Linked DNA regions of Coturnix japonica. The protein of the gene in region 1 interacts with the protein of each later gene in a pairwise test. Links are inferred from orthologs where the notes say so. Each region holds a gene or a part of one and is shown in the gene's direction. Other genes may lie near its edges.

Evidence for each region.
Region 2: the proteins of DHX15 (region 1) and RBM5 interact in binary tests that used the Homo sapiens proteins (3 or more experiments, as listed by UniProt). The link is inferred for Coturnix japonica from reciprocal best matches to the Homo sapiens genes DHX15 and RBM5.

Annotation. Positions count from the first base shown.
Region 1 is NC_029519.1:66,705,165-66,715,868, forward strand, and holds the start of DHX15 (pre-mRNA-splicing factor ATP-dependent RNA helicase DHX15), read left to right. Parts: upstream 1-4,679; 5' UTR 4,680-4,803; coding exon 4,804-4,868; intron 4,869-8,899; coding exon 8,900-9,242; intron 9,243-10,704.
Region 2 is NC_029527.1:1,961,328-1,972,055, forward strand, and holds the start of RBM5 (RNA-binding protein 5), read left to right. Parts: upstream 1-2,589; 5' UTR 2,590-2,707; coding exon 2,708-2,724; intron 2,725-2,811; coding exon 2,812-3,232; intron 3,233-3,308; coding exon 3,309-3,464; intron 3,465-4,887; coding exon 4,888-4,957; intron 4,958-5,433; coding exon 5,434-5,507; intron 5,508-7,790; coding exon 7,791-7,874; intron 7,875-8,839; coding exon 8,840-8,900; intron 8,901-9,020; coding exon 9,021-9,086; intron 9,087-9,508; coding exon 9,509-9,669; intron 9,670-10,558; coding exon 10,559-10,656; intron 10,657-10,728. Other genes in the region: probable G-protein coupled receptor, read right to left, coding at 425-1,726. UniProt on the Homo sapiens protein: Component of the spliceosome A complex. Binds to ssRNA containing the consensus sequence 5'-AGGUAA-3'. Regulates alternative splicing of a number of mRNAs.

The DNA of each region.
Region 1 (10,704 bases):
ATACGAAATGAACTTTGTTAACATATGCAATTCCCCACCTCTGTCTCTTTTTTCTTCTTTATGAAACTTTAACAAAATCATCCCTGCCTTCCTCACCTTCAGGCTATTACAGATGTGTTCTATTTGGGATAATGTTTAAAGACCATTCAAAAAGTTCAGATAGCCAACTTAAGCAGCAAAAAAGAGACTATCATGGCAACACTGCTGTTACTATGCTGGCTTCCTAGAGCACGCTTCCCAGAGCAATTCAAAGTATTGATTTATATATACTTCAAGTGTTGCAAAGTTTAGTTTCTGTAATTACAGAGAAGCTGCCTCTTTTCTTCACAGCAGAAATTTATATCTGTCTATGTATTCATCTGCACAATTTTAAATCTGAAAAATATGTGAGTCTAACATAAAACCTGCTCTGATTGTGGGCTCTTGTCTCAAGTATTCTTTCTCCAGTGATGTGACAGAACATGAGGATTAGGTCCATTTATTCACACAGGCTTGGTGGGAGGACAGAATGAGAGCTTGGCTGTGATGAGCATTTGCATTTAAGGCTCCTGGGTAATTTGATAAGAACATTATCCATTTATATATATTCTTTTAGAGCAGACTGCTTTATCATAAATACTTTTTTATTATTTTTATTAAATTAGTTTGCAGGAAATTCTTTAATATCATGTGCTGTAGATTTAAAAAAAAGGGGAAAAAAAAAAAAAGGAAGAAAGTGTTAGACTGGCTGAAAGAGCTGGGGCTGTTCATCCTGGAGACGAGAAGGCTCCAAGGTCACCTGATAGCGGTCTTTCACTATCTGAAGGAGAGCTACAGGAAAGAAGGGGACAGTTTATTCAGCAGGGTCTGTGGTGAAAGGACAAGGAGAAACAGTTGTAAGTGAAAAGAGGGTAGATTTAGGTTAGATATAAGGAAAAAGTCTTTTACAGTGAGCATGGTGAGGCACTGGGACAGGCTGCCCAGAGATGTGATGGGTATACTCTGTCCCTGGAGACTTCCAAGGTGAGCCTGCATCAGGCCCTGGGCAATCTGATCTAGCTGCAGATATCCATTTGGTTGCAGGAGCGTTGCACTGGATGACTTTTAGTGGTTCCTTCCAATTCTAAGGATTCTATGATTTTTAAAAAACAGACTGTAAATATTGGCAAAGTAAGTGTGGCCATGTAAATATTGGCAAAGTAAGTGTGGCCATAGCATTGCAAATGTATAACCTTGAGTCTACCACCAACTGGCCAGCCATGAAATAAATACATACTACAGAGATTTTAGGGCTCTAACAGTAAAGCTACAGCAAATTTAAATGCTCCCTCCCACCCCTCATAGCTGTCTCTTGTAACTGCTTACTCTTTCTGCTTCCATTCCTGCAGTGGATGAGTAAGTGTGGTTTCACATCACCCACAACCTTGTTTTAGCTTGAATAAGGAAGGTGTGTTTCAGCTAAGATGCTAGGCTGGATATATGTCATTTTTCTGCCCTTTATAGGCTTAGAATCTCTATGAGGACGGTGAAATAATTAGTTGCATGCAGTAAAAAATTGTGATACTGGACTTCTCTGTCAGAATCCTCATTTGTTCCAGGGGCATGTACTTGAATTACAACTTGCCTAAGACCCATGCTTAGTCTCTTGGGGAAAAGGAAACACAAAATCAGAAAACAAATTATAGTGTTTCATAGATGTTATTCACAGCAACTGTTTCAGTTTTAAATGTTCATGCCCTTTTTAACCCAATTAACATGAGAGTAATATGTGTACATGAAAATCAAAGAAATATTCACTAAAAATTGTCTGAGAGGATTTTGATACCAAGGAGTGTACTTTTAAAAACTAGGGTAAGAAACTGAGAGAAGAATAGATGCTCAGAAGGCAACTCATAAATATCTCCTAACTCAGTGATCTAAGATTTTCATTCTTATAGATGGTTATGAAAGACATGGGGGAAACCGAACTATTATTTAACAAATGTATTTGAAAAGGCGGAAAATATGCTTAAATATGCCCTATTTTGCACATTCCTTTCATCCTTGAAGCTTTTGACGTAATGCTCACCACTTTGTCATTATGTCAATTTGTGCTTCTCAATCTTTCTTTCTCGTCTTATCTTACATTTGGGCTAGAATCCTGTGAATACTTACCTACATGCTTAATTTTGCTACTTGTAGTAATCCCTTTGAAGTTAAAAGGATTAACTGCATTAGTAAAATAAAGCATGTGTGTGCTTGCAGGATGAAAGCCTTAGATTGACAATTCTTCAGGATGATGGGACAAAATTGTTCATTATGGAGCCAATAGCTCAAAACACGGGTGGAGGCTGCATTCAGCAGTTTGCAAAGTACTGTTAATAAAGACAATTGGAGCATGAGGTATCAGTCTGGGACAGAGGACTCCAGCTCACCCCACATGACACACTATATATGTATTGTTTTCTGAGAAGGTGTAACCAGTTTTAAGATCTCATGCCTGCTGAGATATCTATTCTGCTTTTCCCTCCTCCTAAACCAGGAGCTTTCCTGAGGTTGGCCATGTGGTAACCTGGATCAAGAGCCTAAGTGCCTTTATGCTGCTTGGAGGAGCAATCAAGATCAGGAACGTACAGTTGAACGCTCCATGCACCTGTTGTTGAACAGCCTCTGCCTTCTAAGAATCTCAGGTGTTACCCTTCACAGCTGATGCATGTAATGCTTTTACATTCTTCTATTTTTCCCACTTTCCAGGGAGATCCAGCCCCCTTATTGTTTTATTTTTTGTCTCCCTTCTCTAATCAGCTCAACGTCTCCCCTATTTCCAGTATTCTTAAGCTTTTGCTTAATACAGTTGTCATTTAAAGAGCTTTGTGTAGCTACCCTCTGGGAATGTAGTGCTTTGTACGCTGCCTTGGAGAAAATAAGCTTGATATTTGGCATGTAGAGAGAAACCCGTAACATTTAACCCCTGGCAAACTGTGACACAGATTTTTCCAGAGTTTTTTTGTAATATAACTTGGAAAATTACTTCCAGTTTTGCATGAAAAGCTCAAAGTCCAGAATTTCTGGAATGTTTATTTCAGTTATCACTTCAAGCAGAAAAAAATGGTATTCTTTATTGTAGTAGTGCCTAGAACTTGAGCTGAGGGTGTCGTTTTGTTGTATCGTTTAAAATAAAAAATGCTCTTCTACTAAATATACACTGATGGTTTGTCTTTGTGGAATGTTATAGCAGTTACACTGATGTAACTCTGGAAGAACATGAGGGTGTGGGTAAACACCTACTTCCTGAGCTGGCTGTGCCCGTGGAACAGGTCACTTGCTGCTAAGTGATTTTTTCTGACCATTTTCAGATTTGCTAGCTGAGCCAGTTGTGAGAATACTCTCTTGCCCTCAGAGTTACACAAGTTAACAACAAATTCTTATTCAAAACATCTGATCTAACCTAATTCCTTTGACCAAAGTGCTGGGGAGTGACCACTCCTCCAAGTAGCTAGGTGAAGGTTTTGGTAATCTCTGGCAGAAAGGCAGTGAGAACAGGCAGGGAGGATGACTTGGAAAACAATGTATTTTTTGTCAGGTGCACCTAGATGAAGAGATAGGAATGAAATGTACTGCCATAATATTAACCTGTCTTATCTGAGACATTAATTTAAACCACTACTGCAGCACTGAGAGAACATGAAATATACTGGGAAAGCAGGGAGGAACAGAGAAGAGAATGTCCAACAGTAGATAAGTATCAAGAAACATCCTTCTTGCCTTTCGAGAAGCTCTCAGAGATTGACTTTTATGAGCTATGCTGTATTATCAAGTGACTGTTTTGGAAAGCAAGGCAGCTGCTAAGACTTAATGATGGATGAGAGGAGAAACAGCTGAAGGATCTAGTTGTGAGAGCACGGGGGTCTGCCTAGAAATAATAGTGCTCATATCAGTGGTGAAATGATTAACATTACAAACGATTCACTTAGGACATCTCATTTAGGGACATCTTAATTGCCTGATTTTGTCTTCTCCTGCTCAGCCTCATCTCTGCTTACAGTCAGGGAACAAACACAGCTTGCATGGATGGTTAACCCAGTTCCTAGAAGGCGCTGGGGGAGGATGGAGATGAGGAACACAGTTCAGGACACAGAGACAACCCAAAAGGCAGGTTTGCTGGATCCAGTTTGAGCCATAGATTGCTGCTGGTACTGGCTGGAAATGTGAAATGCATCAGTACACAAGAAAGACCTGATAACTGTATTGAGAAAATGGCATTTTTAGCTCATGTGTCTCATTGCACTTCAGCAGTTGTTATGAAATACTAGTTTGTGTTCAAATCTAACGAACTTTGATGTAATAGTGGCAGCCGTGCCTGCTGGCGTTAGGAACACGGGCTTCCCTTGCACTAGCAATCCCAAATACATGAGTGTCATGTATTTGAATGAACGTCACCGATTTTCTCACTTCTGCTTCAGATGACTTGTGAAAGGTCGCGTTTTTCTACACACATGGGCGTCAGCAACGGCCCACAAAAACGACGTGCCAACATCATTCTGCTTTTAACTTCCACCGTGGAAATACTCCTGTGCTGGGGAGCAGAACGGACTGTGGAAAGCACCTTTGCCATCCGCTCCCGCCCGCCCCCACAGCGCTGTGGGCCGCAGCCGTTGTGAGGCGCGGGGCGGGGCGGCGCTCACTCCCATGCGCGGCAGCGGCTCGCTCAGCCCCGTCGCTTCCTTCCGGCCGCCATTTTAGTGGCTGCTCCTGGCCTCGCGGCGCCGCTGCCGTCGCTGCTGCTCTTGAAGCGCAAAGCGCGTTCCCTTGAACCCGGCCCCGCTGCACCCAGCGGCCCCCGCCATGTCCAAGCGCCACCGCTTAGATCTGGGCGACGATTACAGCTCCAGCAAGAAGCGCTCTGACGGGTACGAGGCAGCGCGGCCCGCGGCGGGCGGGAGGATGGGGGGGATCAGCGCCGCTCCCGTGATCGGCTGCTCGTTCTGGGCCCAGGCCGCTCCCCGCGGGATGGAGCCTCCGCCGTGCGGGGCGGCACGAAGGGATGGATGGATGGATGGGAGCGGCGAGGCCCGGGCGCGCTGCAGCGTGGGACTGGGCCCAGCTCGGCCTGGAGAGTGGGGGAGGCGGATGGCGGCGGGGAGGAGAAGGAGGGGCCGGGTTGTGCTGGGGGCGGTGGGGCGGCGCGGCTTTGTGTGCGGCCTGCCCGTACCTTCAACTCCGCATCTCCTTTTTGATGCGCTTGTGTCGTTTTCGTTTAGTGGCAAACGTGATCCAGGGGGTCAGCGTGAGGTACTGCGTCCTTAAGCGGGTGGGAGCGTTATTCCTTTGTTAGCTGCCTGCGCTGGGTACCCGGCTGGGGTTGTGCCTCATGTGAGGAGGCAGCGCCAGGTGGGGTTGGGGTGGGATGTCACGGTGGGAGTAGGTTTCTTTGTTTTGCGTTAGTTACTTTTAGGGCTCGATGCACCAGCTTTAGCAGCCTTCCATCAAGGTTAGTGGCGTGGGGGGTACACAAACAATGTGCCGTTGTTGTTTTAGTGCGGTCTCTTCATATTTTGTGTTCCCTGACGTTGGTTTGGGAGCAAAGGGCCTCAGAAGGCTCAGGAAGGCAGGGCTGTGTTTATCTGGCCTGCCCTTCTTGGGAAGCACAGAACCCATCCTGAATCCCATCCTGAATCAGCTCCTCCCTGAAGCCCAGCAGTGCTGTTTAGGTAAAAGTGTTGATCTGAGAAGAATCAGCACAGAATATTGCACCTCAAACCTCCATAGGTGCCGGGTTTGTGTCCCTTTGTCCTTCCCTCATCTGCCATTAAAACTTTACCAAGTCTGCCGTTAAAAGCTTTAAGTGGCACAGGACTAAGAGTCACTGTGGACTTGTTGAGTTTATTTCTTTGTCATAGTCCTTGAGATCTTAGTTCATCCAGCACAAGGCACACACTATTCATCCTAAGTTGTCCTGGCTTATGTAAGGGTCGGTAGGTTTTCCAGCCTACAGAAGGCTGCGATGCACAAGTTGTTACCAACATGTATATTCTTGTCCTATTCTGCACACTGTGGCTTTCTGCAGTGTAGTTGGTTTTGGAACTGGATTAAACTATATTAGCTCCTTGAATAGATACCACATCATGTATAGAATAGCATTGTACCTTGCCTTCAACGTGGGTCACCTGTCTACAATGTAAAATTATGTTGAGTTGTTGCTATGTTCTTTCTGAGGCCTGTATCAGTGTGTGTAACCCCACATGGCAGTCATGCTGTTGGTTTGCAGCTGTTCTTGCAGCCTTAGTGGCTTGACACCACTCGTTATCTTCCTGTCTTGAAGAATCCTCTGTGAAGACAAAACCTTTTGGGGAAGGTGTGGTTTAGAAGTTTTCTGTTACAGTGCTACTGTGCAAGTTGTATGTGTGCAATTTAAAACCCGATGGTTTTTTTTTCTAAGCACGCTTATCTTTGTTTGGTGTTGTGTAACATCACAGTTGCTGTGTTTGTGTGATGCATCGTTTTCACTGATTTTCTTAGGTAAAGAGCAGAAATGCCAATCTAACTGCTGCTGCTGCATCGACTGCCAACAACTATTGTTGCGTCTGCTTAGTAGTGGCAAAAATGCATGTATCAGTGATGTTAGTTTTGCTTAGACTTCTGTTGTGATGAATGGAACTGGAACAGGCTGCCCAGGGGGGTCGTGGAGTCTCCTTCTCTGCAGATATTCAAGTCCCACTTGGACGCCCACTTGTATGACCTGGTGTAGGGGAACCTGCTTTGGTGGGGGGTTGGACTCGATCTCTAGAGATCCTTCCAACCCCTACAATTCTGTGATTCTGTGAATGTTGGTTTAACCTTATTTCTTTTCCATTTGCAGTTTTCTGTGCTTTTATGTCCTCTAAGTCAGTGATTTATTTTTTTCACCTTTTTTTTTTTTTTTCCATCTATTTGTATGGGTGGGCATAAGGAGTTCAGGTAGCAAACCAGGCAACCTCACATGAGAACAGAAATCCAACTAATAAATATAAATGCCCAACAAAACCCACCGTTGCCACCAACCTCTTCCCATTTATGAAGATTGTTGTGGACTTTATGCACGAGACAAATGTTATTAAGTTTTGATTCTTTTTGTTGTTTGTTTTAGGGTTTATGGTCAGGCTGTTAAGTGCAGAGATGAGGAGCGACTTAAATGTGACATTCCATTAATGAAGAACTGCCAAGTTGTGTTTCCAGAGATTTTAGTGTTATCATTTGGCAGTGTAACCATCACTCTACCTGTCCCTTGTTTTGATGCAAGGTACCTGGTGTGCCTCATAGATTTCAGTGGTAGTGGAAGGCTGACAGACATGTTCTTAGGAAAGTAATGCTGTTGTAGAAAGATTAATATTGATGATTAGATTTAAGGTCTGTTTTTTCTGTGCTGACGTCTGATTCCCCTCTTTTATACTGTTCTTAACCATTTTTGGAACTGAAAATCAACTCTCTTGGTTGACCTTTAAGTCAGCTTTTTGACTTCTGAAATGTAGGTAGAACTTGATCGGTTCCTTTTCTGTTATGACTGAAGAGTTAATGAGATAACAGTCACTGGGGAGTAACAGTTCCAGTTTGGTTCCCACTTGCTGTCCATTTAATTTACGTTAGCTAGAAGTTTGCTTATTACTTTAGCACTTCTAGTTCAAAAGTTTTGCAGATAAAAATGCCATTTTTTTTTTTTAAACTTGTAGTTGTTTAAAATGTAATCTAAAAAATGGAATTTATTGGTAAAGTGGGACTCTCTTCAAAGTGCCAAATCACAGTAAGGTTTGGAGTTTTATTGGAACTGTGTGGCTGTATTTCTTTGGTAAATCTGGGGGTTTCTTGGTGAGTGTATCAGGGTTCAGTAGGGGAAGCAAAATTGTGTGTGGAGACGGGTACACAGATCTTAGTAATCTGAAACTGCCACAAAGACTGAGGTGAGATGCAATTTTGAGCATACAACAAAAATAATCCTATTTCTCTGCACTTGCAATATAATTATTTCTTGGACTTTATGGTTAGAAGAAAGTATACTTCACATCTCTGATAAAAGTAGTGGACCAGTCCAAGATTGGTTGGTGTTTAATGCCAGTTATTTGCCATTGACTTGTTCTGGTATTGCTGCTTTGATTTTAACTTTGTAGATTATCTTAGTTTAGAGAAAATGGAGTAGATTTATAACTTGAAGTAATAAGTTTTTTCCTTATGGATGTTCTTAAGTTTGTATTTCTTCATGTTGAAGATGTGGAATAGTTCAGGTAATAGAGATTTTCACAAATTGTGCAGATATAGCAATGTCTGAGGTTTGGTAACAGGATGGGACAAATAGGAGTGCACACATACTGTTGTTGAAGCAGGTGGTAGGAGGCGATACTGGAGAAAACACCATAACTTACTAGTTTTAACTCTAAGTTTCTAACTCAGCAATCAAAGTTGAGTTAGAATTGTATGGAAGACTTGTTAAAAAAATCTTTTATTATTTTTTTTGAAAGCTCCAAAGCCATTCTGGGATCTTAGAATCAAACATTTTTCAGGGCTCATTTATTATTAGTTTCTGTGGCTGGCCTAATTCTCTTGTTAATTAGGCTATAAGAGTAATAATGTTCATATTTTTGTGCACTTGGAGGAAGAGTTGTGAGAAGCGCAGAGCGTAGCAGGTTGCTGACAGCCATTAAATGAAGAGGGTTAAGATGGTGCTCTCTATGGTCTTGCTTGTGACAAGAGGAACTGTGGCAGTAGTTGTGTATGGTGATTGATGCACAGTACTAGAAATAGTTGCGCTTTGTTTATACCCCAGATAACAACAGGTAACTGTTGGAAGGAATCCTTAAAATATTTGGTTTATGTTCACCTTGTTGTAGAGATGTTTAAAATCAATTTGTGTTCAAATCTCTTCCTAACATTTAAATATCCTAATTTTCTGCTGTTTCCTAACTCATTTTAGGAAGGATCGTGACCGAGACAGGGACCGTGATGACCGGAAAGATCGTGACAGGGATCGTGACAGAGATAGAGATCGTGACAGAGAAAGGGAGAAGGAAAAGGAGTTGCGAGCTGCGTCTAACTCTACGCTCATTGCTGCTGGGTTGCCACCTATGAAACCAGCAATGATTCCACACAGTATTAACCCTTTCACAAATCTACCACATACACCTCGTTATTATGACATACTGAAGAAACGACTACAGCTTCCTGTCTGGGAATATAAAGAAAGATTCACGGATATCTTGATTAGGCATCAGTCATTTGTGCTGGTTGGAGAGACTGGGTCTGGTAAAACAACACAGGTGAGTTCTTACTTTCACAATAGTGGAGTTCTTAAAGGTTGGGATGGTTGCTAAGTAAGGGGATTGAGTCTTTATTTGGTATCTTTAATGTCATTATGCAGAACATCTCATAAATAACAAGCAAAACTGATTTGATGAGTGTATGATTTGCTTAACAAATGCAGAAGTATGTGAGGAGAATCTTTCACCGTCCCTTGTTTTAAACCCTACTGTGTTCTCTGGCTTTACCTCCTTTAGGCTCCTTGGTGGTTACATGTTTGGTAAATGAAGATAGTTTTGAGGTGCTGGCTTCAAATTCGTATCCCTTTAGCAGTTTATGTAGGTGGTTGCTTGAAAGTAGGTAAAATGTAGCGGAAAAAGGTCATGTTAGTGTTTTCTGAAGCTTAGTGCTACAGGTAAGAACTCAATGGGAATATCAGGTATTGGTTTGATGTGGTCTTCCTCAATGACAGCAGGTATGCAGAGCTTCACTAGCCCTTAAGAGTTTGGGGACTGGGAAAATGGGGAACATATAAGGAAGGGCATGCTGTGTTGTGTTTATAGAAGAACAAACTTGCTCAACTCTTGAACTGTTCTCTGTGGAAATATGATATTAAAAAGACCTTTTTTTCTCTAATCTGATAAATGCCTTTCATCTAAGACTAAGTTAAAAACTGGAGGATATATTCTAATCTTCATAAAAGGGATTATAGCTGACTCACTAAGTCCTGGAAGATTTTTTTAAGTTATAAAATTTATTAGTCTGAAAAATGTGAAGAACATAGGATAGTGAATACCTTCTATGTCTATGTACCCGAATGTTGTGCTATTTTACTGTGTATTTTAAGTACCTTCTTGTATAGAAGGTTCCTTAGGGCTATATTGCCTTTTTTTTTTTTTTTTTTTTAAAGATCCATCAGCTGTTGAGTTGTGTTTCTGCTTCACCTCTAACTTATGGAAGGAACTTAAGAAACCCAATGCATCTATATTAAAAGTGGGACTTAAGCTATCAAAAGCACAGAAGTTATCTTGGAGTCTTCTGTGCTTCCTGTGGGTTCTGACTGTGAGGCGGCAGATCTTCTGAATGCCTCTATAGAAATATGACACTGAAAACAATCCTGCTATCAATTGGGGAAACAGTTGTTTTGAATGTGATAGTGTTGCGTTCTTAAGTGCTGTCTTAAGCCATTTGATGAGTGGTTGTCCTGCTTTCATCTCTTTACATCCATTGATCATAGCATGATGTTCTTCTGTGCTTGAATGTTCAAGCTAAGTATGTACATGAACGACTTATGCCTTCTTTTACCTGATGGAGGGTTAGCATTCATGGATGTCTTGTGGGATTTGACCTTCCAAAGCGATTCTTAACTTTAATGGCAAAGAGGCTGTAGTAGTTGCAAATCTTCTGAGTGAGCTGCCATCTGGCAAGTCCTTTTCCCCCCTTCTTAAAATCCATTTTTTGCTTCAGTCTTGATGAGCCCCC
Region 2 (10,728 bases), on another chromosome or scaffold:
TGACAGCAGAGGGGTGGCCCCATGGTCAGTGATCTTCCCTGAGCCCCCTCCCTCCCTCCCCCTAGGGGGCACCTTTCCCCAGCTCCTATTGCTGTGGTGGGGTTTCCTATTTTAGGAGGCTGGGAGCACAGCATCCCCCCCCAGCAGCATCCTGACTTTCAGGAGGGGAGGTACCATGGGCACTGGTGTTATGGTGTTAGTGGTGTTATGTGGGCTGGGGAGGGTGCAGGATGACCCTGGCAGGAGTCCTGTGGGGGAATGGCCCCCCATGCTGTAGCCCCTTGGCTTCCCATGTCCCACATGCTGCAGGAGCCAGGGATGGAAATGATAGCACCCAAAATGCAGCCAAGAGCCAGTCATCCAGCACGCAGGCTGGGACAGCAGGTAAAACATGGACCAGGAGCAAAGAGGATGGGACCCAGAGCTACAGTGGCACAGAGCTCTGCTCTTGGACGCTCTCTTCGGGAACCTGGCCAGGGATGGGGCAGCCCCCCTTGCCCTGCTCCAGCCTGTTCCTGGGGCTGATGCAGCCAGCGTGGGTTTCCAGCGTGCAGGCAGCTCTCTGGAGGAACTGCAGGACGTTCTCCTGGACAGAGGCCTCGGAAATGGCCAAACACAGCTCCTGCGCCAGCGGACGGTGGAGAAGAGCGCGCCAGAGCCGGGCCAGCTCCTGGCGGATCTGCCTGTTAAGCAGCCCATAAAAGAAGGGGTTGATGGCGAAGGAGGAGTAGGCAATCCAGGTAACCAGCATCTCGCCGTGCCCACCGCCCTGCGCAGTGGCACCCACAGAGAAGTGCAGGTGGAAGGCGAAGAAGGGCAGCCAGCAGCACAGGAACTGACCCACGATGAGGAGCAAGGTGAGGATGGCCTTGTTCCCTCCCAAAAAGCGCTCGGGTGCCAGGCGGGGCAGCGGCAGGTTCCTCATGGTGACCATGGTCAGTTGGCTGGCGATGGAGTCACAGCGGGGCCGTGGGGCAGCCGCCGGGGCGGGCGCATGCTGTAGGGCTGCCAGGCGGGCTACCCGGTAGACGCTGCAATAGACAGCGAAGATGATGATGGTGGGCAGGATGAAGCAGGTGATGCAAAAGATGACGACAAAAGCCTTCTTGTGGGCCCCAGGGCTCCAGTAGACCGTGCAGCGGCTGGCGCTGGTGGCCCCGTTGTCTTGAGGCCACCCAACCAATGCCAGGATGGTGATAAGGACAGACTTGACCCAAATGAGAATGACCCCTGCCACAGCCAGCCTGATGGTCATCTTGACCTCGTAGCGCAATGGGTGGACGATGTAGTAGTACCGCTCAATGCTGATGACAGAGATGGTGAGGATGGAGGCGCTGACGAAGCAGATGTTGAGGAATATCAAGGCCCGGCACTCGGCGATGCTGTAGATGACCCTGTCGAAGCAGGAGGAGCTGGAGATGATCCCCAGAGGCATGAGGAAGATGGCAGAGAGGAGGTCAACCACGCACAGGTGGCAGACAAAGATGAACTTGCGGATGAGAGGGGTCTTCAGGATGACCACCATCACCACCACGTTGGCCACGAGGGCAGTGATGGTGAGCAGGACCATGCAGAGGAGGCCCAGCACCTCCTGTGCTGTGGACTGCTCTGGAATGGTGGGGTTCTCCAGGCTGGTTGTGCCATTTGGCCCCATTCGGTTCTCCATGCCCATGGGGGCTAAGCCAACAGCTCCACAGCCGGGGTCACAGGGGCGTGCTTCTTGCATCCCATGGAGGGAGAGCCCACCTTGAGCATGGCCACCATCTTCTCATGTCCCCTTACCTGCTGGGGAAGGAGTAAAACCAGATCCACATAGAAACACAGAGCAGGTCTCCAAAGCATCCCAGAGAGATGATGGCAGGGGTGGCACTGTGGGACCTGCTGGCACCTTAACCATCCCAACACCCCATCCCATCCCACAGAGCCAACCCACCCACCCCATCCCCGCAGCTCTGGGTCCCCCTCCTCACTGGGGGTCACCAAGCAGTGGGGTGGCACCAACATACCTTGGCTCCTTGAGGATGGTCCTTGCCACCAGCCCCGCTCACACTGCAGGACTGGGATTCCCTGCGGCCCCATCCCCCCCCTGGCTGTCCCCCATTACTCATCCCGTTGTTTGCCTGTCGCCGATGGCTCCGGCTGTCACCCCCGAGCTCTGCCCGCCCACTGACGGCGCTGGGGCAGCAGCTGGGTCCTAACAGCCGGGCGGGGAGGGGCAGGGGCTGCAGCCGGGGGGGGCTTCATTAGCCATGCTGCAAAGTGTGGGGCTGGAGCTGCGATAACGGGGGGCAGGGGGTGTCCTCATGGCACGGGGTGACCCCATTGAGCATCAGGGTGGCACAGACAGCTGTCAATGCACGGATACAAATGTATTTGGGGGGGCACAGGGGGTAGAGTGGGGCTGGGCATGGTACCAATGCAGGGCCGGCACTGGGGACCCCCATAGCCATGATGCTACAGTGCTGGGCACGACGGCGGCCATGTTGGTGCGGGCCGAACTACAACTCCCAGCGTGCCCTGTACACCGCTGCGCGTGCGCAACAGCTGGAAGCTTCCAGGCGGCTCGCGCGGTGCCCGCTGGGTAGAAGACGGGCGGTCAGCTCGGCGCCATTTTGTGCTGAGGGAGCGGGGGTTGCGGGCGTGTGTTCGGCGCCGCGTAGTGGCGGTCAGCGCCGGGCAGGAGCCGGGACGATCCGTGGGCAGCGCCATGGGCTCGGATAAGCGGTGAGATGGCGGCGGGGCGAGGCGGGGAGGGTCGGAGGGGGATGAGGGTCGGAGGGGGCTCGGTGTGAGCTCGGTGTGTCCCCTCAGTGTGAGCAGGACGGAGCGCAGCGGCCGCTACGGCTCCATCGTGGAGAGGGAGGATCGAGACGAGCGGGAGCCGCGGAGCCGCCGCAGGGATGAGTACAAACGGTGCAGCGAGGAGCGGCGCGGGGAGCGCTACGAGGACTATCGAGACTACGACAGCAGGGACTACGATAGTCGAGACTACGACAGCCGCGATAGCAGGGACTGCAGGGACTACGACAGCCGGGACTACGATAGTCGAGACAGCAGGGACTGCAGGGATTACGATAGTCGAGACGGCCGAGACTGCAGGGACTACGACAGCAGGGACAGCAGAGACTACGACTGTAGAGACTACGACAGCAGGGATTGCAGGGACTACGACAGCCGGGACAGCAGAGACTACGACAGAGATTACGACAGCAGAGACTACGACAGCCCCGAGGTGAGCAGAGCGATGCGGGCTGAGCAATGGGGTGTTGGTGGGTGGCAGCGGGGTCCTGACGGCTGTTGGCTTCCAGAGGGAACGGGAACGCAGGAACAGCGATAAATCCGAAGATGGTTATCACTCCGATGGGGACTACGGAGAGCACGACTACAGGAACGACATTAACGACGAGAAGGAGAGCAAGACCATCATGTTGCGTGGCCTCCCCATCACGGTTACAGAGAACGATGTGAGTAGGCAAAAGGAGCTTTGAGGAGTGCTCAGAGCTGCTGCCATTTTGTTGAGCGCCATGTCATGTTCCCCCTCCCCCCCCCCTTCTAAATGCGTTGGGAGCGCTTCCATTTTGAATCCTGAAAGGGTTCCGGCTGCTGCTGTTTAACAGCAGAGGTCACCTCAGTGTTAAGCTGTTTTAAACAGGACCCTGTGTGAACACTGCGATTCCCATAAGCTTTTTGTGGGTTTTAAAGCTATGTGTGTGTAGTTCTTTACTCTTCCAACTCAGCACTTGGAAGAGGATAAAGATGCACGTTGTATGTGTTTGTTGTTACTCTCCAGGAATTGTTAAAGGAAAAAGTGGTTTAATTCTTTTTTAGGCTTTTGTGGAAGCCAGAAATAGGGGCTGGTGGGGCGGCTCAGATGCTGAGCTCCTCGGCTCAGAGCAGCCCTATGGAGCTGTGTGTGTACAGCTGTGATAGCCATAAAATGGCTGCTCTGGAGCTGAGGGAAGGAGCGAGCGCTGTGCGCCATCATCTGACTGCAATAGAAAGACCTTGCAGCCCCCCTTGGAGGCTTTTTGCTCTTTGAGCAACCAGGACCACAAGGTTACAGCTGCTGTGGGAGGTGGGATAAGAACCAGCTGTAAAAGCCGAGGTGTATCGGCTTGTTTTCAGGCAGACTCCCCTCCTGACCCTGAGATCTTTGTGCACCAGTTGCTAATGCAGAGAATCCTTTTGCACCACCTCAGTGATTGGTCTCTGCTTCTTTTGCTTTTAATTCAGCACATTGTAAATACTGCTGTTGTATGTAATGCAGCATGAGTAAGAGCTGCTGAGAACCTTTTTCTTAGGAGCCAGTTCTTCGTGTTTATTTTTCCTTTGTGCTCCTTCTCAATTTAATCTAGTTTGTGATGCCCAACTTAAGCAGCTCGGTTGTGTCTGAAGGGCTGCTGGCCCTGTAGTGTCTTTTGACAGTATTCTTAACAAATCTCACTTACTTTGTGAAAAGCAAAGGGGAATTGTGTTAGAAGGTTGCAGTCATGGCTATGGGCTTAAGGAAATATGCATAGCTGAACCTCCCAGTCGTGTTAGTTTGCTTTGTTAGGAGTTGGCTGTATTCAGGCTTGCAGGGAGGGGGCTGTGCTAGCAGCATTCTTTGTAGCAACATTGGAGTAAGCCAAATTTCGTACTGATGGCCTTGGAATTCAAGGCCACGGTGATTCAGATTCTGGATGATTCTGTGAGCTAAGTGAGGACAGTGCAGGGCTGTGTGGGTTCTGTGCTGCATGTCAGGCTCCAGTTCACCTTAAAGGTTTTCTTCTTTTCCCTGTGCTCTGTGTATCTCTTGTGCATGCTGTAGGTTGGGTTGCTTCTCTGTTTGCCTGAGCTGTGTGCCAATATTTGAAAACTTAACTGTCTGATTAAAATCTCACGCAGATCCGGGAGCTTATTGAGTCCTTTGAAGGTCCTCAGCCTGCAGACGTGAGGCTGATGAAGAGAAAGACAGGTGAGAGCTCTTATCCAGTTTTTGCTACGGCCTTCCTCTTCCCCAGCCCAAAAGAGTGTCCAGAATTATCCCCAAACTGCAAGCACGTGCAATCAATAAAAAAATAAACGTTTGCCATGGCTAAGGAATGTGGCTTTTTGGAAGACTTGTAGATAGCTCGTCCTGTTAAAAAGAAGTCTGTCTCCAGGGGTTTTAGTTAACAGGTATTGGTAAGTAATACTAGTATAAACCCATTTAATAGTATGTAGTCTGTTGCATGGTTACCTGTAAACGTGGATTCAAATGGAGTGAAATGTAGCCAGTTAAGGGAGCTTGGTTCCTTGCCATGGCAAAATAACGAGCAGATCCCAGCAGTTGACGTCGCATTTGTAAAGCTGCTTTGTCATGAAGTAATGAAGCAGTTGGAGAGAGATTCACCTGTTTTAAAGGAACTGACTAACACAAGTATCCCGTCTATATCTGAATGCTGTCTCTAGGTGTAAGCCGTGGTTTCGCCTTCGTGGAGTTTTATCACTTTCAAGATGCTACCAGCTGGATGGAAGCCAATCAGGTTGCTTCACTCACCAAGTCTAGATATTCCTGAAAATGGAAAAAGTCTGTACAGTTAAAAAAAAAAAAAAAACAAAGGTGGAAGGAGTGGTTTGGTCCATAACAGTGATTGAAATGAATAAAAGCTTTGTATATATTAAAATGTTAACAGTGGTACAAAACAGCAGCTAACGTTAGGACAGAAAATGGGCTGTTTTGAGCACTCCCTCATAAAACGAGCTGTTGTCTTATCACACAGCATCAGTTTATTTGGCTCTGGGAAGAGTAGCATATAGTCCATAAATGGCTCTTCATTTACTTCCACCTGCTACTTCTCCTGTTGCCAGAGAAGGCATCATTGGATACTGTGATATTTTCATTACATCAGCATTAAGCTGCAGTAGAGCTCAGAAAAAGATGTGCCAGGTCATTAGAAAGATGCGTTCCCTGAGTTAAGGGGAGACACCTGGCTCTAATGATGGAGAAACGTGGTTATTCCAAATATGTCTAATGTGGACTGAGGGCTCTTCAAATCTGCGCTGTGTATTTTGGCTTTTCTGGACTGTGATTTGATGAAGAGCCCAAGTGCAGGAAGTGCTCTCATTGCTTTCCACTTGCACTGGAGGCACGCCTTGGATTTGCTAATTTTTGTGCCTTAGTCTGTTTTAACAACAGATGTTAAATACGCTTTTGAAGCGAGCAAAGTATATTGAGCCCCTTGTGCTTCTACAGCTAAGTGCATGCTGTGAAGGTCTGTGGGCAGCATGAGGAATGTATTCTGCTGCATTGGTTTATGTGTTGAGGCGCTGCAGCAGCACTGTGAGCATCTCCAGCAGATGGAGGTAGCTGTGTGCTTTGTGCTGGGAGTCGTTCCCCATAGCACAGCTCTGGTTCTGTTTCATGGTGCCCTGCTCCGTAGGGTGGGCGGGTGCAGCAGAAGGACTCGTGTCAGTAAATCAATGCTGAGTGCATTTTTAGAAATGAGACAGTTTTAATATATACAAAGCTGTATTGATGCATAATTTATTGAAACAAATATTCAAATTCACTCCAGTAACCCAGCCACCCTAGTAGTAGGGAAAACATAGAGTCTCCCCGGCAGCCCGGTCGCTGACTGTTAGATGAAAGAATGATGTATTGCAACTGTGCCAGCAGCTTTGTTTCTATGTGTGCATATCCAGTGAGCGCTGGGCCCTCCAACCCTCCCTCCTGCCGGTAGGAGAAATGGCTTTGCCCTATATAGTTGCACAGAATGTGAGAGCCTTATTCATGCTACATGTATCTGTCAGACCCTGTTACAGAGAAGCCACTGGTCCTGGTGCTCCTGTGGTACCTCTGCAATAAGCCAACCTGTCGTAAAACTGGTTCTTGTATTAAAGTGTCTCGGGGTTGGCCTGTAGTGCACGTTTCCTCAGACTTAACTTCCTTCTGCCTGTTTGACTGAAATACTTTGTCCGTATATTGAATGAAGGGGCGTTCTACGTGCCCGCACTTGGCAAAGCACGAGGCTGAGAGTTGGGGCTTCTAAAAGCAATCTAAATTCCCAATTGCTGTGAAGTCAGGGTGAGCAGACATGCTGAAAGCATCGTGAACTTTTCCTACCCCAGGAGAAGCTTCGCTCTAGTTAGTCATTTTGGAGAGCTCATGCCTGAATGAAGAACACAAAACTCATGCGCAGGCTTCCAATTGAACTGATGCTTTAGTCAAAGGAAAGCACTCTGAGTTCCGTTTTGGTTGATGGCACTCGTAAACCAGCCTCCAAGAAGTCTAAACAGGGTCCCTTTGGAAGGAATTACTGTATTTACAAAGGGACGCTTCTGAAGAAAGTGCTTGGAAAAATATTGCAAATGTGGTTGTTTAAAGGTCTGGGGAATTTGGAGTAGGGGAAGAAGTGAAGCAGTCACCTAAGGACATGTTTAAAAAGTCGCTCAATACTATACCAGAAGTGAATAGAAACGGGGCAAGGAGACTCCTAAAAATGTGTTAATCCTGAACGCAGCGAGTTAGGACTCTGTCTCCTTCGAGACACTTCCTGGTTCCATGTCAGCGTTTAGTGTTTGGCAACTTTTTCAACACTCCCTGATTCCGTTTATCTCTGCTCCACATCCCATTCTCTTACTGCCCTCGTCCTCCTCTCTGCAGGATTGGATGGGCAGGGTGTAGGTGGCGGTGGTTGTCCTCCACATCCTCCCCATATGTTGTCCATTTAATTCAGGAGCACTGATTCCTCCGAAGGGTGCTCTGCCATGGGAAAATGAACACGTGTGCCTCGATACAGGAATAACTGAAACCACTTCTTTTGCAGAAAAAGCTGGTGATTCAGGGGAAGCAGATTGCGATGCACTACAGCAACCCCAGGCCGAAATTTGAGGACTGGCTTTGCAACAAGGTACAGTGTGTGTTTCTATCTATTTCTCATCGTTTCAGTTCTTTACACCAGCTGTGTGATTAAGACAAAACAATGCATAATACAGGCCTTGTGGTCAACAACAGCAGAGGAACACTAAGGCACAGGAGTGAAGAGGTTTTGCTGGTAGAAACACCTGGAGTGGTGAAATTGTCCACAGAGAACATCAGCAGCTAGAAGATAAGAGGGGTTGGGGCTCACTGGTGTACTTGCCAGCTGAGACTCTGTTCATTAGTGGAGTTGTGTGTTGCTCCCACTAATGTATGCCTGACCCAGAGCACATCTCCCAGGAGCTGCTCCTCACAGCAGAGCTGATAGGATAGTCATGGCCCTGAGGGAATTTCTCTGTGGTTTTGCCATCTCTTTTTAGAAAATCAATAATACTTTCAGCCTTAGGTTGAGCTTCAGCTTTTGCTGATGGATGCAATATTTGTGTATGTACTGGAAAATAGACTAGCAGGATGCTGTCGTTTTTGCTTATACAGAAGTCAGTCAGTGAAGCGTACCAGAACGCAACGTCATTAGGTGAATTCTCTATCCTCCAGGTGACGACTCATTTTTGTGCCCAATTGATTGTCTGCTCCATGCTGCTGTACATTTGTTTGTCCCTCTTTAAGTGGAGATGATGTAGCAAGGTCAAAACCAGGCTTTGTTCTGCTTTGATCACATGAAGATGACTTGTTTTTGAGCCTGTGTTAAACGATACAGATAACATAGTCGTGTAATTCAGGATAGTTTACTGACTTGATCAGAGGTGGCTGGGGTGTTCTGAAAAGCAGCTGCAGTACCAATGAGCACGAGTTCTGCTGTTCTTGATTATTCTAGTAGGTTCAGCTTTGTTGCAGTACTCAGCTTGATTGTCTTGTTTACAGCAAAGTACAGCAAATGCCACCGTTGTTATGGGTCAGTGGAGTCCTTACTAGATGTACTGTTTTTTTTCTACACAGTGCTGTCTTTACAACTTCAGAAGGAGGCTGAAATGCTTCCGCTGTGGAGCGGACAAATTTGGTAAGTTGCTTTCATCTCTTTGGGTGTCTTTGAATTTGGAAGAGAATGGAGGTTGTGGCCTACCCTGTGATATTCTGGCTTTGAGCAACATTGTGATTAAAGTTTTTCCTTCCTGTGAAGATTCAGAGCAGGAGGTGCCACCTGGAACAGCAGAAGCCGTTCAGTCTGTGGATTACTACTGCGATAGTAAGTCATCTTGAAATTATTGCAAAAAAGAGACTTGTGAACCTGTGCAGAAAAGTCCTGTTTGTACCTCAGAGTGTCCTTTAGCACCCACATTGAGCTCTCTCAGGGCACAGCACTTAGCATGGTTAGGTTGTTTCCTTTTTGTAGACTGGTACGTGTGAATGTTGGCAAGGGCTTCTGCTCAGGAAGTGCTTTCCGTTCATTAGAACAGTATTGACAGCCCTCTCATCTTCCCAACAGAGCAAGTGCTTCCTGCCAACTCTCGAAATACTGTACTCTTGAAACAGAAACGTGCTCTTGTCCAAAACTGCTGCTGTTTTGGGTTTGGTGGTGGGGTTTTTTTGGTTTGTTTTTTTAAGGCTTTTCAGAGCACTTCAAGTTCTTATGTACATAGCTAATGTCATACTTTCTTTTTTCCTCAGCCATCATTCTCCGAAACATTGCTCCTCACACAGTAGTGGAATCCATCATGACTGCCTTGTCTCCGTATGCTTCTCTGGCAGTCAATAATATTCGTCTTATCAAAGACAAGCAGACTCAGCAAAATAGAGGCTTTGCATTTGTGCAGCTGTCTTCTGCCATGGTGAGGGCCTTATTGGTTTTGTGCTGAGGTCTGCCCCAGTTCCCTGGGGGTTCATAGATCATTGAACAAATACTAAATGTGTCAGAGCCTTTCATTGTTAGCTGCAGCTTGGAAGGAAAGTAGGGGGGGGATGCTGTGAACACAGGGGAAAAGTGTTCATGGCAGAGTGCAGTTCTGGGTTGAAAGCTCGCTTCATACGTGGGTCACAAATAATGGGCCGGGGTTGTTTGGATCACAATAAAAGGCTGGAGTGTACAGTGTGAGGAAGTGCATAGGATTGGGCTCCTTTCACCTTGAGAAGGTGAAGGAGGGGGAATCTTGCTGCTCTCAGCGTCATCCAGAGCAAGGCTGTAATGGTGGCAGAGATGTTCTCAAAGGGTGTATGGTGAGGGCAGCAGGCACACTGAAACGTGGGAAATGGCAGTGTAAGGTACAAGGAGAATGTCTTCCTTTTGTGTGAAGTTGAACACTGGAAGAAGGCTCCCAGAGGGGTGCTGGAACCTCTGTTGTTGGAGATGTTCAAATTGACAATCAGTGTGGTCTGTTTGGACTTGCTTTAAGCAGAGTTCAACAGTTCAGTGTTGGATGAAAACGGGTGGTTGATGACAGCCTCTGCTGGGCTGCCTTTTGGAGTCATTTGGGACAAACAGAGCTTTTTGATAAAGATGACAGTTGAAGTGTTTAGTCATCAGTGACCCTGCGTTTGTGGGAAGCTCACTGTCAGCAGGCTATAATCCTGTTGTATTCAGCATGTATGGTGTGAGGGGGTACAGAGGTGTTACCATAGCTTTAAATGTTTCTAGCAGTGTGTGAAAAGATGGAACTCTGGGAACTTGTGTGTCCTCTCCAGTAACTTGCTTTTCATAATAATGAGTGTTTCTTGTTGTAGGATGCTTCCCAACTGTTGCAGATTTTACAAAGTCTTCAGCCACCATTAAAAATTGATGGCAAAACAATTGGTGTTGACTTTGCAAAGAGTGCCAGAAAGTGAGTTGCAGTCGCAGTTCATTTCCCCCCTTACCCCTTCATAAATACAAAGATTCATGGCTGTCTCTGTGG